Linked DNA regions of Tribolium castaneum. The protein of the gene in region 1 purifies or fractionates together with the protein of each later gene. This does not show direct contact. Links are inferred from orthologs where the notes say so. Each region holds a gene or a part of one and is shown on either strand. Other genes may lie near its edges.

Evidence for each region.
Region 2: the proteins of Cbp80 (region 1) and Ref1 purify together in Homo sapiens (affinity purification with western blotting; 6 studies listed by BioGRID and IntAct, with this or other methods). This does not show direct contact. The link is inferred for Tribolium castaneum from reciprocal best matches to the Homo sapiens genes NCBP1 and ALYREF.
Region 3: the proteins of Cbp80 (region 1) and regulator of nonsense transcripts 1 purify together in Homo sapiens (co-immunoprecipitation; 3 studies listed by BioGRID and IntAct, with this or other methods). This does not show direct contact. The link is inferred for Tribolium castaneum from reciprocal best matches to the Homo sapiens genes NCBP1 and UPF1.
Region 4: the proteins of Cbp80 (region 1) and tho2 purify together in Homo sapiens (affinity purification with western blotting; 3 studies listed by BioGRID and IntAct, with this or other methods). This does not show direct contact. The link is inferred for Tribolium castaneum from reciprocal best matches to the Homo sapiens genes NCBP1 and THOC2.
Region 5: the proteins of Cbp80 (region 1) and Kap-alpha3 purify together in Homo sapiens (co-immunoprecipitation; 3 studies listed by BioGRID and IntAct, with this or other methods). This does not show direct contact. The link is inferred for Tribolium castaneum from reciprocal best matches to the Homo sapiens genes NCBP1 and KPNA4.

The regions. Positions count from the first base shown.
Region 1 is NC_087397.1:5,579,674-5,584,879, reverse strand, and holds the end of Cbp80 (nuclear cap-binding protein subunit 1), read right to left. Parts: coding exon of another isoform or gene 2,724-5,206; intron 2,654-2,723; coding exon of another isoform or gene 2,618-2,653; exon of another isoform or gene 2,504-2,617; intron 1,188-2,503; coding exon 949-1,187; intron 901-948; coding exon 352-900; intron 304-351; coding exon 190-303; 3' UTR 105-189; downstream 1-104. Other genes in the region: mucin-2-like, read left to right, coding at 2,618-2,653, 2,724-5,206. UniProt on the Homo sapiens protein: Component of the cap-binding complex (CBC), which binds cotranscriptionally to the 5'-cap of pre-mRNAs and is involved in various processes such as pre-mRNA splicing, translation regulation, nonsense-mediated mRNA decay, RNA-mediated gene silencing (RNAi) by microRNAs (miRNAs) and mRNA export.
Region 2 is NC_087395.1:19,979,393-19,983,382, forward strand, and holds Ref1 (THO complex subunit 4), read right to left. Parts: upstream 2,188-3,990; 5' UTR 2,076-2,187; coding exon 1,893-2,075; intron 1,788-1,892; coding exon 1,364-1,787; intron 1,289-1,363; coding exon 1,191-1,288; 3' UTR 948-1,190; downstream 1-947. UniProt on the Homo sapiens protein: Functions as an mRNA export adapter; component of the transcription/export (TREX) complex which is thought to couple mRNA transcription, processing and nuclear export, and specifically associates with spliced mRNA and not with unspliced pre-mRNA.
Region 3 is NC_087397.1:527,037-532,172, forward strand, and holds the start of regulator of nonsense transcripts 1, read left to right. Parts: upstream 1-2,039; 5' UTR 2,040-2,372; coding exon 2,373-2,552; intron 2,553-2,604; coding exon 2,605-2,832; intron 2,833-2,876; coding exon 2,877-3,056; intron 3,057-3,102; coding exon 3,103-3,315; intron 3,316-3,367; coding exon 3,368-3,759; intron 3,760-4,170; coding exon 4,171-5,136. Other genes in the region: sodium channel protein Nach, read right to left, coding at 1-106, 152-377, 427-557, 605-752, 799-959, 1,010-1,129. UniProt on the Homo sapiens protein: RNA-dependent helicase required for nonsense-mediated decay (NMD) of aberrant mRNAs containing premature stop codons and modulates the expression level of normal mRNAs.
Region 4 is NC_087402.1:8,541,389-8,545,308, forward strand, and holds part of tho2 (THO complex subunit 2), read right to left. Parts: coding exon 3,267-3,920; intron 3,222-3,266; coding exon 2,759-3,221; intron 2,711-2,758; coding exon 2,126-2,710; intron 2,077-2,125; coding exon 1,549-2,076; intron 1,498-1,548; coding exon 1,434-1,497; intron 1,386-1,433; coding exon 1,286-1,385; intron 1,233-1,285; coding exon 1,097-1,232; intron 1,043-1,096; coding exon 847-1,042; intron 797-846; coding exon 759-796; exon of another isoform or gene 239-758; intron 1-238. UniProt on the Homo sapiens protein: Component of the THO subcomplex of the TREX complex which is thought to couple mRNA transcription, processing and nuclear export, and which specifically associates with spliced mRNA and not with unspliced pre-mRNA.
Region 5 is NC_087398.1:4,898,972-4,904,128, forward strand, and holds the start of Kap-alpha3 (importin subunit alpha-4), read right to left. Parts: upstream 3,518-5,157; 5' UTR 3,139-3,517; coding exon 3,076-3,138; intron 2,982-3,075; coding exon 2,283-2,981; intron 730-2,282; coding exon 37-729; intron 1-36. Other genes in the region: endonuclease/exonuclease/phosphatase family domain-containing protein 1, read right to left, coding at 3,908-4,185, 4,476-4,706, 4,758-4,939, 4,992-5,157. UniProt on the Homo sapiens protein: Functions in nuclear protein import as an adapter protein for nuclear receptor KPNB1. Binds specifically and directly to substrates containing either a simple or bipartite NLS motif.

The DNA.
Region 1 (5,206 bases):
ACTGATGGAAAAGTCGAGATGTCAATACCAACAGCGCACGAGGACGAACGAAAATCACTAGAAACTTCTGGAATGGGGTTTTGGGAACTTCAAGAAAACTACTCTTATCGTATATTGATATACTTTTTATTTATGAATTGTAATTGAGACGATATAAACTACACTTTACAATGTAAATTAAATAAAAAATTAAGCTCTCAAAGAGACGAACTGTTGGAATACTTCGAGAATGTGTGGGTCCAAGTCTTGGGTAAACAGCAGCGTTTCCAACGTAGAACTGTATTTCTGAACTTGTTCATGATGCTGTAACAACACAAATTAATTATAAATAAAAGCATAATAAAATATTACCGCTAGAAACACTTGTTGGAGCCTCCCAATTGTCCACTTGTACCAATGGGTGTTATAGTCGCGCCCATCCGTGTCACACCTGACCAAATGTTCAGACAGTATCATTATAAACCTCTGGAAAATAATCAGGAACAAGTTTTTCTGATCGGCTTGTGCCGCTTCCAACTTCTCTTCCATCCTTTCAACATACTCTTCAGTTGGTTTCTCGTTATCAGATTGCTTCTTCTTCGAATCCTCATCTTCAGACTCACTTTCGCTGCTTTCAGCCCGTGCTAGTTTCTCTCTAGCTTCAGCTAGTTCACCCCCTAGCTTAATCACGTGTCTGTTCATTTTTTTAATAGTCAGATGTAAAATTTCCCACAAGTACATTTTGGTGAATTCGGCCGTCATCTCTTTGGAAAAAATCCAATTAGCGACCGCTGAACACTCGACAATTTGAATTTTCAACATTTTGTCAACTAAAACGACCATCATTTGTTGGTGGTGGTGCCACAATTCGAACATGTTTCGTAAAACGCAAATTTGAGCTTCCTCCGACTCTGCTAAAATCTATCAAAAAAAAAGTGATTTAAGACACAAATGTTCAAGCCTGAGTACCTTAAAAACGTAAAGAAACTTGGAAATCGCTGCAAAACTGTGCGAGAAGCTCTTCGACCCTAAGTTGAGTAGAGTTTGCACAAAAACGTCGATTTTGAGAGGATTAAATCTGCTATCAGTCTCTTCTTCTGAACGGGGGTTTGGGAGGTCCTTAAGCACCCCTAGGACCTCCTCGGGGGTGCACTTCTGACGTATTGACACCACCAATTGATGGGCAGCCGTAGTACCCGGAAGTGACGCTAAAACACGATTTGTTATGCATGACAAAAAATTTCATAATTTTGGTTTCGCCACGACGGAAGCTGGATTTTTTCACAACTCCTCATAATCCTCCGTTCCACTTTAAATAAATGAATTATTCAAAAAAACAATCCGTTTAATACAACAAAATTGTTTTCCGCAAACCGAAACGGAAAAGAAAAATTAATAATAGCGGAAGACCACCGACCAGAAAATCCAATATTGTTGCAAGTAATCATAACGGAAACGTTCGTTTTTTCTCGAACGCATATAATCGTATCCCTTTCTTACGCAAGCTGCAATGTATAGCTATTTTCTCGTGTTAATTGGTCAAATTCACGCACGTTTTACTTTCGGACTTTTTCCTTTAAATTACAAGAATCACTTCATACCGTGACCATTATGTCAAATTTGCTCATTGTGATGATTGTTTCAAACAATTGTAATCTTCATCGTGTAACATGCACTTTCGTTATTGTTTTTCGTTTCGAAATCTCCAAGCGTAAAGATGCGACTTTGCGATATCGCCGCTGACTTAAAATCGGTTCTTTTCAGAGCAATTAAGTTCAAGGTGAAACTGAAGATTCGTGAGCAAAATTACGAATTAAAAGAAAAAAATAAGAACGATCGTAAACATCTCTGGTTTCATAACGCGGAGATTAAATCAAAGGTAATGAATTTGTGCAATAAAAATGAAAATATTCTACCTCAAGTACTGAATTTTACGCAAATAGGGTCTTAGGTAACACCACAAGGTTTCAATTAGCCACGCTTTTCGGTGAAAATAAAATTTCTCTATTTTCCTTCGAGTAACATAAAGAAAAAAAATGTTTTTGCAGAAATTAAATCAACAAAAATCCACCATCAAAGAAGAAGGTAAAAAATAAATTAAATTAAAAGTGCGAGTCCATTATTTATCGTAATGAAAATGCAATTATCAAGATGTTGCGACAATACAAATTCATCATAGAATTGCCAATAAAACCTTGCTAATAAATTTTTAATTAAAAAATCTCACTTCGGACAATACTTTTTCCGAAGGTTTAATTTTAACAAACCCATCACTCTTAATAAAAATTTCAAAACTTCATTGTTAATGAGAGTCATTTTAGTTAATTACTGTCGTGCCAAATTAACTTGTCCGAAAATAATAATTCGGGTTTTTTCTTAAAACCCCGAGATAATTATCTTGGCATGTGTCTAAATTAAGTAATATAATATGCACATTGCACACACAAGAAAAAAATAATTAATATTCATCAGTGCGCAGAAAAGTAGACAATGTATTAGCAATTATGTCGAAAGCTTCTAGGATCATCGGTGGGGTACTCTTCAATCTCTCTAAGTAAAAAGATTTAGTTGTAAGAAACCGAGCGAACTAGTGACATGTGCAGCTTTCAAACATTTGCAAACACCCAGTGGGTCTAAAATGGGACACTTCGAAATAATCTTCATTTTACTCTTGGTAATTTTACCACGACTAACAATCCCATTCAAGTCCAAGGTTATTAAAAAATGAAAACTCTCATTTTCAGACTCTCCAACTATGGGAAACTGTATCAATCACTCGACCCGTGCGAAACTTTCATCCTCCCACCGACTGGGAATTGGGGCTGCGTGAGTCCGTGCATCAGGCCCTCCTCCGGGAACACTACACCGACCCGGGGCTCCGCGACCGCCTCCTGGCAGCCCCTTTTATCAACCGACAGGACGACGCAAGTCCTTTCGGAGACATCGCCGTTCTGGCACGAGGACAACTCTACATAACCCCTGAAGGTTTCAAATTTGTTCAAGACGTGGACTGTGATTGTCAAAGATGCCTCACGTCGCCCCAATGCCAGTGGAAAACCTTCGGTCACCATAAACTACTCGCACTGTGGACGGTGAAGCGGATAAGACATCGGGACCCCCATTATGGGCACGTGTACGAAATCGAGTACACGATTTCGCCCATCACGCACACCATCAGCGAGGATTTGGTCAAAAGACATGGGTTTTTTAACTATAACGTCCCGGGACACATTTTCGTGATTAAGAGCGATCCGGGTGTGAACACAGTTGGACAAAAAGAGTGGTTCAAGAAAGAGGAAGATCATGGACACTACAAACCCGGAATTTTAATACAAATGACCCCGGATGGGTACAAACACGTGTTGCACAGTTTTCCCGGATTTTTCACTTCATACCACGACCAAACAACAATCGATCCAAAAGAATACGAACTGTACAAAAAATTGATCGAGTCATTGGCGGCGAAAACATCAAGTGGGCCTCACCGATTCTCAGTTACGACTCCTACGACTACGACTTTTGTCGTAAGTGAAGGACAATTAATCCCGATTACGACTTTACCGACCCAAAGTTATACAAAGTCGCCGAAACCCATCACAACCATTCATTATTACACTCCGGTTGAGACAACAACGGAAAAACAAGACGAGAGTTTTGATATTTTTTCGGAGGCGTTACGCACAACTACTACGAAAAAAATTACGACAAGTGAAGAACGAGTTAATTTGTTCCCGGTTAGTCCAACCGAACCGATGAAACCGGTTACGGAAGTTCCGAAACACACACGACCGGATTCAATCAGTGAACAACTTCCAGCCCCTGATCGAAACGTTGAAACTACAATTCCGTACGTTACCACGACTCAACCTTCGGTTAGGAAAGAAGAAAGTACCACAATTGAAAAAGTACCGTATACAGAGCAGAAAACTACAATTATTGGGCCCTTTACGACCGAGAGGGTTAAAAGTACTACGTTTTATACCACTGTACCGAAAAGTAGTACGGTGATTGAGGCGGTACCCGTTAGGACTTTACACACTTCAACCAGTCCCAAAACCACTTCGACTAGCCCCAAAACAACTACTATAATAGAAGCAGTTCCCGTCAGAACTCTGCACACGTCAACCACTTTTCTACCATCGTCTAGCCCCAAGACTAGTAGTTATGAAACCACAGTAATAGAAGCAGTACCCGTTCGAACTTTACGACCTACAACTGGTCATGATACCACTTTTTCCACATCATCCAGCCCCAAAACCACCAGTTATGGAACCACTGTGATAGAAGCAGTGCCAGTCAGAACTTTGCACACTTCAACCAATCAAGGCACTACTTTTCTACCACCGTCTAGCCCCAAAACTAGTTACAGAACGACTCTAGTAGAAGAAGTACCAGTTAGAACGCTACACACTTCAAGTAGTCCTAAAACTACTACCACAATCCAAACAATACCCACTACAACTCCATATGGTTCAACTACTATAGTAGAAGCTGTACCAGTCACAACCCTGCAAGGTTCTACTATCATAGAGGCGGTACCTATCACAACTCCATACCTGTCAACTAGTTATGGTACGACTGTAGTAGAGGCGGTACCCACTACAACTCACCCGAAAAATACGTACGAGACAATAGCAAAAACACCCAGTTATGAAACCACTATACCAGAGATAGTACCTACGACCACTCGGAGTCGAACGAGTTATGGTACCACTTTAGGAGAACCCGAATCTGTGACAACCCACCCTAAACCCACCACAGTCACGGAATTTTATTTCGAATCAAAGCCAAAAACAACAGTAACGCAACAAAAATTCACAATCCCTACGACTACCACTTATTATACGCAAACCCCGACTCAATACTTAAAAGAAGCGACTTTCACGACAAAGAAAGTACCTCGAGTGACCATAACTACCCCAAGCGACGATTTCTTGCTCGATTCAGACATCGAGAAAAAACCGAAAATACCCGAGAAAAAAGATTTCGACGTCGATGATATTTTCGGAACAGTGTCGACAAAATCGAGTACCGAACCAATAGAAACCACCACGAAACAATTGATACAATCTGATGTTTCCCGGGCTTTATTCGGGCGCGCAAAACAAGTAAAAATCAGTTCGAAAATAAGAAAATCAACGAACCGACCGAAAATTATTTATGGAAATTTCTACGCCCCCTCGACTCCCAATCCCACTAATACCCTTTTGGGTACTACTGTGGATAC
Region 2 (3,990 bases), on another chromosome or scaffold:
TTGGTGGTTCGATATGTTCAAGCCAAAGCCTTCCGGCGACACGGAAAATACAGGAATATAAAAAGAGTTTTGCACCAACGTTATTTTATTATTGTTTTTTGTTCCACATATAGAAACAATTTGTGCTCAAGCACGTAAGATGTTAGAACTCATTTATTTTACACGAATAAACAATAAAGGTTTCAAAAATATTAAGTCTTTGGACATATTGTAGGCCACGTTTGGAATATATAGTGGTGTCGTGGTTTCCATTTTATTATAATCAGATTAATGCCCTAAGAACATGTAGATTTTGTTTATAAATATCTACACTAGATTAAATTCGGTAACTATGCGGAACAAGGATATTCACACAAAATACTAGGCGAATTTAAAAAAGTTGAATTATAGGAACTAAGAAAACTTAATGTAATTTAATTTTGATACAAAATTGTGAACATTACAAGCAGCCACAAGACAGCTCAGTTACTATAATTATTAATCTTACACTGTTGCTTAATAAATTATTATTTTCTTTTAGTATTCTTTATTGATGAAAATTACGTTGAGTGCACTCGCTTCGATTGGATGTACTTTTTGTAATTTGTTTTGTCGTATATTTAGTAATATAAACCCTAAACGCAAGTTCTCACGGACCCACTTTAGTTGTTCAATTAAAGATGAAAATTTTTAATGGAAATCATCGTAAAAAACTTGATCCACTTAAGACACAACAAAGATTCTGACGATGATTTTTGTTGAAGTTTTATTGTTCAACTTGAAATAAACGACTAAAATCGATCCGTGTCAACGTGCCTTTAGCGACAACTGTTACAAGATTTATTATGGTTTTAAATCAAGATTGAAGGCGATTAATTTTTTATACAACTCGGTCTTAACGTCATGTGATACATTTGGCTGATGCAGTTTTATGTATAAATAAAAAAAATTTCTAATGAAACGACAAGTCACACTTAATTCTTATTTATTCCTATCAATACAATTTACATTAACAAGAGAAAACAGCCTAACACTAGATTTAGTTGTGGAAAAAACGAACCGCATACGTAATCCTCGTACTTTAGTGGTTATTTTTTATAAAATGTAAGGCTCGATGTTACAATCAAAATACAAAATAAAAATACGAAAGAACTAAACACAAGTCACAAAAAGTGGCGCGTTGAGCGTCTCTGATATTAATAGCACTTATTTTATTTCATCTCCTTGGTGTAGGCGTCTAATTCAGCGTCGAGTTCTTCAGCTGTCGGTTGTTTCTTTTGATTTCTGAAACTTCGTCCTCCTCCACGACCTGGCAAACAAACATTTGTTTAGTTGAAAAATCCGGCTGTTGGAGGCGTCGCCGCCGCTGGTCAAGTAATTGTACCTCTGTTAGGTCGTCCCTTGGCAGGTGCAGCCCCTCTTCTGCTTTGGAACTTCCTCTCTCCCGTGGGCCTCCTGACCGGCGACGGAATCTCCGACGTGATGATTTGAATGTTCATGGCGCGTCCGTCGAGAGGCACTCCGTTGTACTGCTTCATGGCCTTAATAGCGTCGGTGCGCCTTTCGAAAATCACATCAGCGGTGCCGAGCGACCGCCCCGAGCGGTCATAGTGCACCGAGGCGCTCTTTAGCGGCCCAAACTCGGCGAACAATTCCTGAATATCCGAGTCGGAGACCGCAAAGTCTAAATTGCCCACCATGAGCTTAGTGGGGCCCACATTGGACTGCACAACGGCCCGAGCCGCGGCCACTTTACGCGGGCCGTAGCCCTCGAACAGATCGTGCTTCCAAGCACTGTTCACATCTCCCTAAACAAACATGGATGGGGGTAAATTCCGGCTCTCCGGCTGGATGCACGCTAGCCGCTTCCATCGCGGGGCAGCTTAAGTATAAACATAGTTAGAAACAATTACCCGGGTGTACTGGCGCGTTATTCCTCCGCGTCCTCGGCCCCTTTGGACGCCGCCGGCTCTTCGGAACGTGCCGCGTCTTGGCGCGCCACCCCCGCGGGTTCCGCCGCGACCTCCGCGACGGCCGCCGCGCCGGGGCTTGGATTTTATTATCTCATCTAAACTCATTTCAATTGTGTCGACCATTTTTACTGATTTTGTACGCTGATTTGACTGAGAAATTCACTTTTTCTACACCCGGCGGCAACGCACACAACCAACGACAAAATGGCGTACAAAATGAACGACAGACGCTGTGCGCATGCGCCACGTCACTGCGCTGTCGGCAACACAGGAACCTGCCCGGATTTTACCAAAAAAAAATACGACCGCATGTATTAGGCAATTTTTTGCATTTTCAGCATAATACAGAAACAAAGAATAAAAACTTATTTTTATGTTTATGAAATAGGTAACCTATTTACACCAATGTAAAAACACCGCTGTATTATTGGTTCCCTATACATTCAATTTTTTTCAAACTTTGTTCTACCAGTTTATGTAGGTAGGTATTTGTAAATGAAATTTTGTTCTTCTACCTAATGTATGTTAAAATATTGTCAATACAAAACAGATGTTTATTTATATTGACTCATTAACACATTTTAGTGTTTGAAGAATCTTTGGCAGAATTGAAATATTGTGTAATGTTAGACTTTCTTTATTTGATCCATTAAAAGTAAAAAAAATCAAATGTGAACACGTTTAAATTTAAAAGAAATTTAAAAAATGTAATAAAAAAATATTAATTTAATTTAAAAATTCCAACAAAACAAACACTCACGCGAAAACGTTTAAAGTTCTCGGGTGTATATTATGTAACTCGCATACGCTCGTTTGCTCAAATCACCGTCTGTTAGTCATATAAACTTTGGGAAAAGTACTCAAAAGACGCAATCCCAATTTCCTAGTTGATATTGCGTTTCTGATTAATTTTTAGACGCTGAAGTGAAAGTTTCAACCTCTAATATCCCAAAAAATAATAAAAGTTTGGATTAAGTAGTTAATTACACAGTAATTAGATGTCAAAACACAAAAAATATTTATTTTTAGTTAGTTAATAATTTGTTCATCAGTTAACACTTCTCTATTATATTAAATACTTACTATCAACCCCGACATATTTCTCAAAATTCTGTGAAAAGTTCGTTATGAACGGAAAACTAGTTCGTTTTATCCGTAAGTTCTCCACCACTGAAGTTTAATCCTGAATTAAATTTTATTTGGCTTTGTACAGTAACTAGTCCCTAAGACTATAAATTTAGTTAATTAATTATTATATTGATTTTTTTAATTAATTAATATTTATTGTAAGGAATTGTAGAATAATCCTGAAAAAAATCACATGCACAGAGAAAACTGTAAAGCACCAGATGATCCTAACATATTTTTGATTTTATAGTTTTATTGGGTTATATACAAAAATACATTCACTGAGATTAAAGATCTCAGCATAATAATTTAAAGGATCGGTTGAATCCTGAGAGGTTTTTTTAATTTTACTCGTGTTAATTTTAAACAGGTGCACAAACTGTCTTCTTCATTTATCATCATTATCAAATTGGAAGTCTGTTATCGCCGTTATTGTAAGTAGGTATACTCGAGGGCCACTGATACGTGTCAATGTCATGACTGGGTGAGTTTATCACAATGCACCAGTTAATAAAAATTGTTATATTTACGCTCTGATAGATGAATCTAGATAAAAAAAAATTGGAAACTGTTTAATCTTGCAGTTTGGAATTTTTTCTAATAACAAATATTATTTTACGCCGCTCCTAAAAATATCGAGTAGAGTACAGGTCAAAAACAATGTCCACTCATAAAATTCGAAAATTAATCGGATCAAGTGAGCGTGGGTTTGTTTATGCTCATTTATCATCTGCACGTTTACATGGCAGAAATTTATTGAAAAGTCGTTTCAGGATTAGTTCGTTTGAGGAACAATAGATGTCTCGTATCAATTAGTGTACTTAAGTTAATGTTACTTTATTATGACCACATTATGACTGAGTGTGGTTCTATTTCGTACGTGAACAGGGTCACGCCGAAAATGACGCAA
Region 3 (5,136 bases), about 5.1 Mb from region 1:
CTGAAGTACTGTACAATTTTGCATGTTGCAAGTTATTTTCATCGTAAAATCGACAACCACGATTTGCGATTTTCATCAACCTGGCGGCTTCGTCCGTGAAAGTTTCCTTTGTAACAATTGTAAAACAGTCACTCAAATGTAATCAATTTACTTTAACTGATAAAAACGCCTTGTAGGCTGTTTTAGCAACAATTCCCGAGCTTGTGCGTGAATCTAGCAACACAAACTCGCTGGAACTTTCCTTAGTAGGGACGGAGTCTTGGCTCAACCCATACACAATGAACCCATCATGGTACAGCTCAACTGATAAGTTGCCATAACCGAAATTTGAGTCGCGCGTTATTTTGAAAGGGAGGTCTTCCCGACTTGTGTATTTTCTAATAAAAATTATTTTTAAATTTGTTTGGTGAAATAAAAGGCAAGTACCCTGAAACCAGAGAATTGAAGCCAAAGCAAGGCCCGTGGTAAGTGTCAATGGGCAAGAATTCGTCACAGCAGGGAAATTCTTCGTTGTTGTAAAAGCACGAACTAATTGCTTCCGAACAAGTGCTGCGGAACTGCAATTAAACGAGTGCAGTTATGTTAACTGGGAAAATACCACAACCTTATGCATGTATTGCGAGTAATTTGTTAGCAAGCATTTGTCACGTAGAGCACCATTTGGTTGGCAAACTTGCGTGTGTCTTATGGAACCGTCGAAGAAAACGAAGGTTTCGAGTTTGGGGAACTGTTGAGATATGGAACCGAAAATTCTTCGAGCAGAGAGAGTTATAACAAAGAAAATCACAATTAACTTACTTCTTGTTAGCTTCGAGCATTTTTTTTGGATTTGATCGTTCGCAAATAACAATTGAAGGAAAGTTTGTTTGCCAATTTAAGTAAGATGTGTCCACTGAAAAGGATATTTTTTGGTTTTGATACTGGTCTAGTGCGTTAAACATTAGCATAATCGATGCGGCCTGTGAATCTATTTTATTGTGGTAAAAATTTGACGATTTGTGGGATTTACCCAAGAAGTTAGGACACATATTGTCCAAAAAAATCTTTCAGTCCAGTGGAATCTCTTATCAGCTATGAAATGCAAGCCATGTAGAGACGTGTTTAAGAAATATTTTGTAACAATACTCATTGTAGTGTAGTTGGGAATTTGTAATCAATACTATTTATGAGTTGGGTCATAATGCAGTAAAACTTTAATAAATTATTAATAGATGTGTTGAATTGTCGCTGTACAAAAACCTAATAAAAAGTTAACAGTTTTCAAACTATCAATTATATCATCGTAATATTTATTATGTATCTGTGGGAAACCAGAATGATACGTGAGCATTTAAGTAACCGCAAGCTACTTAAACATGAGAAGAATTAAAAAATAAGGAGTGCCAGTTGTAATAAAGAGCATGTGTGATTTCTATTAATTTAATAAAATACAGTCATTTCTTGATAATGTTTTTATTGAGTCCACGTTCTATTTTTATGGATAAAGTTTGTAATAGCAATATCAAATTCAATAATCATAAATCATAATAATTTCGCCATTTTTCGTCCATTTTTAATTTAATAATTAGGTAGGCAAAACCAAATGCTCAGTTGTTTTATTGGTCATCTACTCAATAAACTTATTACGTTTTTTAGTTTTATTTATTTCGACAAAAACATTCGTAAATTTACGTTCTTTTAAAACGAACATCATTTTATGTTTTTGACTTATTACCGATAAAATTTCACTGAAAAATCGGCTGTTTTTGAAAAATGTGTTTTTTTTATTTTGATATGCCTCTTTTTTGCAGTCATGTGTTGAATGTTGAATAAAAACCGAAAAATCAATAAACTTTATGCTATAATTTTATAATAAAAATAATGTTTAAATGTAAAATTTACAAAAAAGTGAAAAATCAAATCATAAAGTGACGCAGCCTTAGCCACTTCTACAATCAAACATATGCTTATCTCTCTTTAACTTAAAAGATTGCGATACGTGTCTCACTCCGATAAGATGGTAACCACAATGATAACACCGTGCCAACCAACGAAAAAAAGCTTAGGGATTAAATTAGACAATAAGGTTGTGCAATAATCTATTTCCTAAACCACTTTTTAATTTTGAGGCCATAAAAAAGATCAGTGCGCTAAAAACTGAAAAAGATAGCACGAGTGTTTAAGTTTCCCGCTCCGTCAATTATGCTTCGGAAAGAGAAATGACGATAAAAAAACAAATGATTAATCAGGAAAATATGGCGCTTGCCAGGAGAAAAATGTAGAAATTTTAAAGTAACCATAGTCGAGTTGTCATCAATTGAAGTGTTAAAAGTGTTTCATCAGTAAACGTGAATAAACCCGTGCTTCAATTCGTTCGCGACGAAATCTCCAAGATGAGTGTCGACGCATACGGCCCCAGTTCGCAAACTCTCACGTTTTTAGAGACCGAAGAAAACGACTTGATCGGGGCTGACACCCAAGGATCCGAATGCGAATTCACCGATTTCACAATTCCATCGCAAACGCAAGCCTCGCAGCACGACCACGCGGGCCCCAAAGTTTCCGGTGTACAGGTTAGTGCAAGGTCGCCCCCTGGTTCAGTGTCGTATGACGTTGTTGTTTTAGCTCAACAACAACATCAACAACAAAATCGCCAATGCGACGAGTGCTTTAGGGGAACTGCAATTCGAGGAAGAGGATGAGGAGTATTTCAACAGCAAGGAGCTCCCGAACTACGCGTGCAAGTACTGCGGCATTCATGAGCCGAATTGCGTTGTCATGTGCAACTGCTGCAAAAAGTGGTTTTGTAACGGGAGAGGAAACACCTCAGGAAGCCACATAATCAACCATTTGGTGAGGAATTTCAACTTGGAAACTGTTTTTTGATTGGGGTTTAGGTCCGAGCCAAACACAAGGAAGTGACCTTACACAAGGACGGCCCTTTGGGCGAGACAATCCTTGAATGTTACAGTTGTGGCGTCCGCAATGTTTTTGTTTTGGGGTTCATTCCTGCCAAAGCTGACTCTGTTGTGGTGCTACTTTGCCGCCAACCTTGTGCCGCCCAAAACTCACTTAAAGTAAGTCATTGCTTTTAAAATAGGACAGTTTTCAAGCTTTTAATAGGACATGAACTGGGATCAAGACCAATGGAAACCACTCATTACCGACCGGTGTTTTCTCACATGGCTTGTAAAAATACCATCAGAACAGGAACAACTGCGAGCGCGCCAAATCTCAGCCCAACAAATCAACAAACTTGAAGAACTTTGGAAAGATAATGTTGATGCCACGTTCCAGGATTTGGAACGGCCAGGAGTTGACGAAGAACCGCAACAAGTTAGTCTTGTTTGCACAGTTCTAACGTATTTATTATAATTTTTTTTGGTAGGTTTTATTGCGATATGAGGACGGTTATCAGTACCAAAACATTTTTGGTCCTCTTGTTAAGCTTGAAGCTGATTATGATAAAAGATTGAAGGAGTCTCAGACTCAGGAAAATATTGAAGTTAGGTGGGATGTGGGTTTGAATAAGAAAACAATTGCGTATTTTACTCTTGCTAAAACTGACGGGGATATGAAATTAATGCACGGAGATGAGTTGAGACTTAGATACGTGGGAGAAATGCATAAATCATGGGCGGGGGTGGGACACGTTATCAAAGTTCCTGATAATTACGGAGAGGATATTGGCATTGAGTTGAAGAACGGAAATGGGGCTCCCACCGATTGTAACAGCAACTTTGTGGTGGATTTCATTTGGAAAAGTACCAGTTTTGACAGGTAAATTTCGTTGTTGTGATAGAAACAGAAATAATCACGTTAATCTCTTTATGTATCACATTTTTTATTTATTTTTTTAATTAATGTTTTACTGTTAGTAGTCAAACGTTGAAAGTACCATTGTTATAAACTTTCACATTAAATATAAGTATAATATTACAATCAAACTTTATTTTAAAAATCACAGTAATTAAAAAAAAAGCATGAGAGAAGTGACGCATTTTCACTTCTTATTTCCGAATGTTAAAAAAATCTTTGTAAGATGTTAATTTTAAGCGTTGATATTTCAAGCTATATTAATGTGGTAATTTTTTTATAAGGTTTCTAAGAATATTTAATTAAAAAAATAATTATGTGAAAACAAGTTTTCACGTCGTTTTTTTCTGAGCTCGCCTTTATTGTTAATTGCAGGATGCAACTCGCCTTGCGAAAATTCGCCGTTGACGATACATCCGTTTCCGCCTACATCTACCACCGCCTCCTCGGCCACGAGGTCGAAGAGGTCCTTTTCCGTTGTCACCTCCCTAAACATTTTTCGGCACCTAATCTTCCCGACTTGAACCGTTCGCAAGTCTACGCCGTCAAACATGCCCTCCAGCGTCCACTCTCCCTCATCCAAGGTCCTCCCGGAACGGGAAAAACCGTAACTTCCGCCACCATCGTCTATCAATTGGTGAAACAAAACGGCGGTCCAGTCCTAGTCTGTGCTCCCAGTAATACGGCAGTTGACCAACTTACCGAAAAAATTCACAAAACTAATCTAAAAGTTGTAAGATTGTGTGCGAAATCACGCGAAGCGATTGATTCGCCTGTGAGTTTTCTTGCATTGCATAATCAGATACGTAAAATGGAAGCCAATACTGAACTCCAGAAGTTGCAACAGTTGAAAGATGAGACTGGAGAGTTGAGTTCAGTTGATGAGAAACGATACAGAATGTTGAAAAAATTGGCTGAGAAAGAATTACTCGAAGCTGCCGATGTTATTTGTTGTACTTGTGTGGGGGCAGGTGATCCACGATTGGTTCGTTTGAAATTTCATTCGATTCTGATTGATGAAAGTATGCAAGCGACTGAACCCGAATGTATGGTACCGGTGGTACTAGGAGTGAAACAATTGATTTTGGTTGGTGATCATTGTCAGTTGGGTCCAGTTGTTATGTGTAAGAAAGCAGCAAGGGCTGGATTGTCCCAAAGTTTGTTTGAGAGGTTGGTGGTATTGGGAATTCGACCGTTTCGCTTGGAAGTACAATACAGGATGCATCCAGAATTGTCGCGTTTTCCCTCCAATTTTTTCTATGAAGGGAGTTTGCAAAATGGAGTTTGTGCCGATGAAAGGAAGTTGAACAAGATTGATTTTCCATGGCCGGTTATTGACAG
Region 4 (3,920 bases), on another chromosome or scaffold:
TACAAACGCAACCAAGTTCTTTAATATTTTAACAAAAAGTTTCGTCTAACAACAACAATAAAGACATGCATTTATATCTTATGAAACAGAAAAAATAATCCATAACATCTAAAATAATTCGGCATGACAAAACCAAAACGGAAGCAATTTCAGTACAAATAAAATTATTTAAGGAATGTAATTCAATAAAAAGAGCTGCACGTCACCGGAGAAACTCCGTACTTAATCCGGAACCTACCTGTAACTGGCTCCCATCCCAAAATTATTAACAAAATGGAAGATTGGGCTGATTGCAGACTGTCCCTTACACAAGTGTCACTTTTTGCCACTTTTACATAAGTGAATCTTCATGCACCTTCGCTTGCGTCTTCTTCACAGCCGATTCCATTCCCGATCTTCATCAACGGACGAATTCACTCCAACATTACTCCGGCGATTATAAGAATCGATCGATTTTTTTAAACGACAAACTTCTTCGGAAATATTTACGACAATCAGAATTTGTGATTTGATTTGGTTTAAATGTGAGGAGAACCCGGTGATGAAAAACAAAAACTCGTGCAGGACTTGGTGGCGAAATTAGAGCAAAAAGTTTATCAAACACACAAAGCACTCGAGTCTACAACACTTTTTGCGACAGATTTAAAACACTTTAACGGCACGACTCAGCCCAATCTCCCAGTGTCGGACAAAGAAAATACCAGAGAGGGTTTCGAACCCTGAAATCTGCATCGTTGTTACGTCACTCCGATACTAACCTTCAAAGAAGAACCATCCATTTTTCTTCTTTTAACTTCTACACAAAAAAAATTAATCAATACCACCAAACTGACCCAATTATTTTACCTCTATCGGTCTCGGGCTCTTGACTATGCCTTCCCATACTACTTGACCCATTATTGCTACCACTTAACCCGATTTCGCGTTCATCTCGCACTTCTCGATAGTAGTGACTGCCTCTTTCGTCATAGTATCGTTCCACTTGTCTGTCGCTTGAATACCGCATTTCATCTTTCGGACTGATTTCAGAATAGCGCTCCTCCTAAACAAAATCCAATGAAATAACACCAAAACAACAAAACTCGCAATGAATTACTCGATACTGTCGTTCTTCCTGTTTCGCCAATTTCTCCTCTTTACGCTCTCTACGTTTCTCTCTTTCGCGTTCTTTCTCAAAATCGTCACGTTTCTCCTCCCTTCTGTGTTTTTCCCTCGGTTCGGGGCGTTCCCACCTAAATAAAAACACACTCAAAAGGGAAATTTGCACCAAAATCGAAATACTAACGCGTTATAATCGCCAGAGCTTTGGGAACCTTGCGACGTTCGTGAAACGACTTTAAGGTCCTCCGCTTTGATTTTTTTCTCGCTTTTGTCCTTCATCTCTTCTAAAATCAGCTCAATGAGTAACAAATAAATTGACACACACATAATACCTTTAACTTCGCCGTTATGTTTGCTAGAACCTGCCTCACTTTTAGCTTCATGACTTCTCACAACCTAACAGAATTATATTGTACGATTGGCAATTTTGTTTGAATGGTTAATTACCTTCTCTTTCTCCACCAAAATATGGAAATCGCTCTCTTTCACCATATGCCCGCTCATAATCCTCTGTTTCAACAACCCCAAGTAACTACTAGACAACGTGAACAAATCCTGTCGATTGTTCTTCTCCTCATCTCGCACTTTTTCGATCCGTTTTTCAATAAATTGCCCCACCTTTTGCAACACGGGGAAAAATGGAATGATCTTAATTAGGATAATTAACGAGTTCCTGATTTGTACGTAATCTTTCGAGTCCAAGCACGTGACCATAGCCTTTGCTAGTTTATAGTGCCATTTATGACAAACATGCCTGTAATTCTCATAACCGACATTATCCAAATTGTCGGCATGTTGGTTATTTAGACGATATTTAGTAACAAAACCTGGATAATTGGCACATTCTTTCTCAAACAACTCTTTCGACTTGTGCCACCGCATTACAGTCTCGAGCATTGCGTACAGAAATCGCCCATAACGCATCGCCTCATTTTCGGTACACGAAGTAATGGAATATGTGACGTCGCAAAAGAGCTAAATCAACCGAAATCACGCAAAATTCCAAACAGATCACACAACTTACCCTGTCGTAGCACAAAAGCGTCGAAAAATTCGGCGTTTTCAGCATGTGAATCACGTGGACGAACTTAGCGCAATACACGGCATCGATCGACGTGAAAGTGCATCTAGGGAACAAACACAACTGCAAAAACCGGGTTATTGTTTCGTTTTTGGCCGATTTTGCCGATCTTGACAGGAACCAACTGTCCTTCTCTTGCTTCAACCTATACATTACTTTCTCCACGTGTTCGTGTTGTTTCTTCTTCTCGTCTTGCAGTTTCTCGACTAGGGTCAAGTAACGTTCTTGCTCTTTTTTACCTTTGTTGTTACTCGATTCTATCGTTGCCAACGATTGTTGGCGCGTTTTATTCACGACTTGTTGGTACGTTTCGTCAGGTACGTAAAGATCATACATTGTTAAAGACCAAAAGGTTGATAAAAATTGGGGCGAAATGTCCTCCCAGATTTTCGGGGGGTGGAGCGGAATTATAGATTTGTGGACCGGTTCCATCACTTCGTTCACCGCTTCGAAATATTTCTGGTTTTTTACGTTCGTTGAGAGTTTCTTGTAGTTAGGGTCAGATTTACGCAACTGATCGTACTTTATCTAAGACAATTAACTAAATAAAAGCCAAAAAAGGGGGGAAATACTAACATTTATGGCATGGTTGAACATGGGCCTGGCCAGGAAGAAGGCAACTTCGTTTGGAATATGATAATCGAGGAGCATACTCTGGATACTTGGCAATTTATTCACATACTCATCAACTGAAAGAGAAGAGCCGAGAAACGTCCCAAACTGGACCAAAGTGTCCTGACATTGATCGGCCAATTTCCCGACCAATTTCAAATGATTCTTCTGCGTTTCCCGATAGACAACACAATAATTTTGCTGGGCCATCAGTAAACACAAAGCCACAGCTAGATTATGCTCAGACATTGCTTCCTTAAGCCGCAGTGATGATTTTTTAGTGTTGCGAACTTGACTCAAATAACCGGCCTCGGCTTTCAGAAGTTCGCCCCCTGCCATTGCGTTCACTTGCTCCATGGTCAAGTCTTCGGCGGCTTCAACACCTGCCATTTTCTGGACGATTTCTTTCAAAATCAGCAAATCCAAACTGAAACTAGTTATTAACCCAGCGAACGTCACAAATGAAAAGTACCTTTTTTGCGCTTTAAGTTGGTTGGCCACATACTGCAAAAGCCCGGTCAATTCTATGATGTATTTTTTGTAAACAGCGCCACAAAAACTCGAGAGACTTTGTAGCCACGAAGAGATCGAAGTGCTATCATGTTTTACCCGTTTCTTGTCGGCGTTCGCTAGACATTCAACGAGGCAAAAGCCCAAAACATCGTACGATAAACTCGTCAGATATTTCAAAGAGTCGACCACTGGGTGAATCAAATTGCTATAAACTTGAATTTGGAGTAAAATGTAATCGAACAGAAATCCCGGTGAACAGTGGGTGAGTTTGCCAATGAGGCGGCCTACAGGTTTGATGTTTTCCTTACTGACTCGTTTCATGATATTTTTGATTTGTTTTTCGGAATCTCCGCGCTTTCGTAACAAGTCGGGGTATAAAGAATACGTCTCGTTTTTCCACCGGCTGTAAAGACAGTACCTATTCTGATATGGGTAGAGTTTGAGGACCGTCCACACTTCCTCTGCGATGCAACAATTGCAATCCATGTACGAGAGTGACGACAGTATTGTCGTGTCCAACAAAGTCAAAATATCGTAATATAACGTATCACCAGACGGACAAGGCGATTTTGACGACTCTACTCCATAGGAATTTAACGCCGCTTTGGAAATT
Region 5 (5,157 bases), on another chromosome or scaffold:
TAACAATCAGACTTCAAAAGTACTGTTTCAACTTACATCACCACTAAAGTACTGTTCGATGATGTCATATGCAATTTTATAAATTTCTATATTGTCATGATTTTGCAACATTTCGATTTTATCTAAGCCATTGCACTCCTCAATCATGGTACACAACTGGTCCACCTCCGCTCCCGCCATCTTCAGCATGTTGTTAATCCCGTCCAAAACGACCTGAATCACTTGCGCATCTTTACAACTGAGGAGGTCGCAGAACGGGGGAATCACCCCTTCGCGGATCAGTGTGGCCACCTGTTCCTTGTTTCCGCCAATGGTTAGATTACTGATGGCCCACGCCGCCTCTTTCTGCGTTTGAAAATCGCCCTTGCTGAGGTTGTTGATGATGTTGGGCAGGAGGCCGGCGTCAATCACGGCCTGGACTTGCATCTGGTTACCGGCGGTGATGTTAGACAGGAACCAGACGGCCTCTTTACAGATCTTCTCTTTGGAGTGGGAGAGGAGGGCAGGGAAGTGGGACAAGGCGTCGCAGTTGAGGACCACCTGGGTTTGCTCGTCCGTTCCGGTGACGATGTTTCCGACGGCACGGAGGGCCGCCGTCTGCACTTTCACCTCCTTGTGGCTGAGGAGAGGGATGAGTTTGGGCACGACGCCGCTGTCGATCACCATTTGAATTTGTTCGTTGCCGCCGTCGGTGAGGTAACTTAATGCCCAGACCGTGTCGACTAAAATCTGGAAGAGCAATTTTTTTTTAAATGCTACAGCCGAAAATCCAAATATCGTTTTGTATGTGTCCCAGAAAAATTTAATATCGATAAATAAAAAAAATAACGAGAACTTTGCAAGGTTTCTAATGTCATTTATATTATTCCCCAGTGATGTTTTATCCTAAATAAAATGCGAATTTGTCAAATAGAATTTTTCGGTAAAGATGCACTTTTGTGAGGTCATTAAAATTCCTTTTTCGGCTTGTATTTATATGCATTGTATTTTTTAAAATACAAAAGAATAAACAAATAAAAGAATGATTCAGAATCAAATAAAAAAATCACCTCCATAATATTGCACAAAAAAATAAAATAAATGAGAGTGCCTCACAAAATGAAGTCAACTTGAAATTTTTTATAGTATTTTACCAAAATTTACGATTACACATTTATTTTCCACAACGTGAATTCTATGATTTTTTAAATAAAAGCCAACATGCCACAATTACATAAAACAACAAAGGTAAGGAATCTGTTATAATTAATAAAAAATCTTAATAGTATTATGTACATAAATATTTTCACGTTTCATTAAAAAGTACAAAAAACAAACCGCAAATAAATTAACCACACTGTTTGTTATTGCTGCCACTACACCACATAACAAAAATCCATTTTTAATTGTTTATGTTAAGTAGCTTCCAATGTCTTCATATTTTTTTATTTATTATTTATGCAACATTCCTGACAATGTTATCTAAGGACTGACGAATCAAGCCTACGAAAATTATCAAGGCTTATTTTGCCTTTGAAATTTGTCGCCAAAGAGACTAAAAATCTACTTTCAGACGAGAAGGACATGGAAAAGTTTTAAAATAAAATTCCAACGTCTAAAAAATTTCAAACTTTCAGTTTCTGTTACTGACACTGAAACCAGGGTTTTTCTTTCAATTATTTATAGAACCCTTCTATACAAGTGAGAATAAATGTTAATTATCCCAGAATGTTTTGACAGCATCTCAAACAAATATTTTATTTGTAAAATTGTCTTTCTTGATATCTCGTAATTCTTGATTCTTGATAACGTTTTTGTGACTATGTGACCATCGGTAAGAATAATTTAAATGTAAAGAAAATATTTCTTGTTTAATTTAACTTCATATTCTATAAACAACCCCGGTTTGAGTCACAAAAACCTGAGTCACACCTCCTAATAAGTGAAAACAATTATAGCTGACCTACTTCTGAACTTTTAATTAATGAAAATTTTATGAATGATTCTGCCAACGTAAAATTTGTTTATAGAGCCAAAGTACTGTTTTGTTTATTACGTCGTAATCAATACTAACAAAACAACCGAAAATAATGATGAAGACGTATTTTTGCAAATCATTAAAATGGACAAAGAATAAATTGCGACCTTGACACCAATCTCGCACCGTTGAATCCAACATTTTTAAAACTCAGACGTCATTAAAGGTGAACTTTTTTTTTTCTTCCCTTTTTTATATTTTTTTCACACGTAACGCAAAGTATGAGACTGCTCACCTTTGTGACTCTTTTCTGGTACATACTCACATTGGTATCTGTGTGGTGAATAAGCGCATTCAAGGCGGGTAACAACTCCCTAATAGTCTGTATAGGCGGCGGGGGATCCTTGTTCCTACACAAATTAACAATAACCCAGGTGACGTTCCTCAAGAACGAAATCGGAACGTCGGGTTTAATGAACGAGAGAAGTGGATTAACAACACCGAGCTCGATAACATAGTCTCTTAACTGCGGCCCATCGCCGATGATATTCCCCAGGGCCCAAACGGCCTGTTCACAGACGTTCTGCTGGGGCGAGTGCAGCAGCTTCAGGAAGAGGGGCACGGCCCCCGCTTGCACCACCCTGTTGGTCTGCGCGGACGTGCCCGAGGCGATGTTCGTGAGCGCCCAGGCGGCCTCAAACTGCAACGAGGGCTCGTCATACCGTTCGAGACACATCACCAGGACCGGCAGGATCCCGCTGGAGATGAGGGCGTCGATCGGGGGGTTCCTGTCTGAAGACAGCAACTTCCGCGCGGTTTGGATCGCCATCAGCTGCAGCGGGGGGTTGTCGATAGCGGCCGCTTGCGCCACCAGTTCTTCCAAGTTCGTGGTGGAGAGCGACTTCTCGATGTCGTCCTCGTCGGTGGAGTCCACCACGGGGACATTGCGGCGCTTCTGGAGGGTCTCCTCGCGCTTGTTCTTGCGCAATTCCACGGTGACCTCGTTGCGCCGTCTTCGCATTTCCTGGGGGCACACGGGGCGGTCAGAAGGGGCGCACCGGACGGGTGTTTCGGGAGTAAGGGAGCCGGTGGGGCGCAAGGAAGGGCGGGGTACTTACATCTTGGTCTTTTCCCTTGTTCTTGAAATTCTGGATGCGATTCTTGTAACCTGTATCCGCCATTTTGATAGATTTGACAATGGAGGGCTGATGAAAACACGAGGAAAAGCCGGGTGGCGCTCTTAAAACGTAAAAGACTCGATTTGGCGTTATGATAACATGAAAAATGAAGGGGGAAACGTTCGGACGCGATTATCACAAAATTACCGACTGATTTAACGTAATTTGGGTATTTTTTTCATACCCATTTGCTACAAAGATCGGTTGCACAGGTTGCGCGCACGGTGGCAAACACAACGGAAGGACAGCTGATCGGGAAAATTAACACAATCTAAACCTTATTAACATTAAAACCACAACTTTTCACTGTAGGCTCAAAATCAAGCCAAATTTATTGTTTCAATGGACACTACACCTTTATTTGCAATAATTTCGGCAAAACTTTCAGTTTTTAAAGTTGGCACGCTGATGTCAAGGTCACACTTTTCACGTGCGGTGCTTACGCACTCGATTGTTTGTTGGACCGAACTTGTGATAAATAAAACTCACTGTTAATAAAATAATATTTATTAAATAATTACAAATACAAGACTAAGTTGTTACAGTACAGGGAGTACGAAATCGGGGCCCTTTATTGCAAAATTCGCCCGCTAATTTTTTTGAAAATTTCTGAACAAAAACACAATTTCAAAATAAAATCATCTGTGCCCCCACATATTTGTCTTTAAAGCTTAGAAATAAAACCGTCCGACACACAGCCATAAATTTGTAAAATTTACGTGAAGTATACCCAGTCAAAAATAAATAAAATTAAATACAAAATAAGATAATATCACAACGCCGTCCCAGAATTGGGGTTTAGAAACAATTCCATCCAGACGGGGCAAAAAGGAGACGCCGGTCCGCCCCAATTCCACCCATTGGGAATGGCCAAATGGGTCAAACCTTGCTGTACCACCCCATTAATACCCGTAACTTGCCCTTGGATTTTGTTGTTACATAAAATATTTGATATGTGTTGTGGTTTTAAACCCAACTTCGATCGCAAATAACTCGTGTTCATCGAACTCGGAAAGGCTGCTTGGAGACCCCCGATTGTCAACCAGTCGTCTGCAAACACGCCCACTGTCATTCACAGCCTCCTTGATAGATAGAGAACTTCGTTTTTTACGGCTTGTCGCTAACTTCGCATTGCATGCCTAATTTCACTACTATCAGAATTGACAATTATATTTGACGTAAGATGTCGCCCTCTTAGGTGGCACAGCCTGCTTGACCCGACCAGCCGTCTAAGAACGAAGTTCCCATCCATCAAGGCTGTGATGTAAGTAATTATGCAACTTAATTGGCAATTTCGTTAAAAAATATTTGCATGTTTAGTTATGTTATCAGCAGTTTACCTGTTATGTTAGGAATAGCTGAAAAGTCTACAAACAATAAAAGCATGTCTTCTTCGGAAATTAGATCTTTTATTTTTTCCTGCAACACGTCCAGTTTCGCCTTTTTGTTTAGTTTCATGTTAACTAGTTGTAAGTCTAAATCGCCGACTTTGAAACTTGCTATGAGAACTTCGCAGTCATCGCTTGTTTCTTGTGGACCTTGGTTCAGTGATATCAGTTCAATATCAATCACTGGAAACAAATTAGTCATAAAAATAAAATTAGAAATAGGTAGTGTTGCACCTCCATCTGAGTCATAGATAAAACCTAACTGGGACCCATCTACATCCAGCATACAAAAATTCCAGTTATGGTTTTTATCTTTCCACTCGTTGACTCGTCTCAACCTTGGCTTGTTGAGCTCATCACAAATTAATTTCATTGCTGTGACATTAACTACCTCTTGGACGGCTAATATCGATAGTCTGGAACAATTTCCTCAAAACCTGTGCTTCACACGATGTTTTTTCTACAAACCCGTTCTCCAAAATCGTCCGACACACGACTTCCCTAACTCCGGGATTGTTAGCTTTCTCAAATGTAAATTCGTGCAAATTCCATACTCCGATTCGTATCGCTGGCTCTCCTTTCCGCGTGAAATTGAAAATTTCCTGACCAGTCGGTCGGGGAGAATAAGCCGACA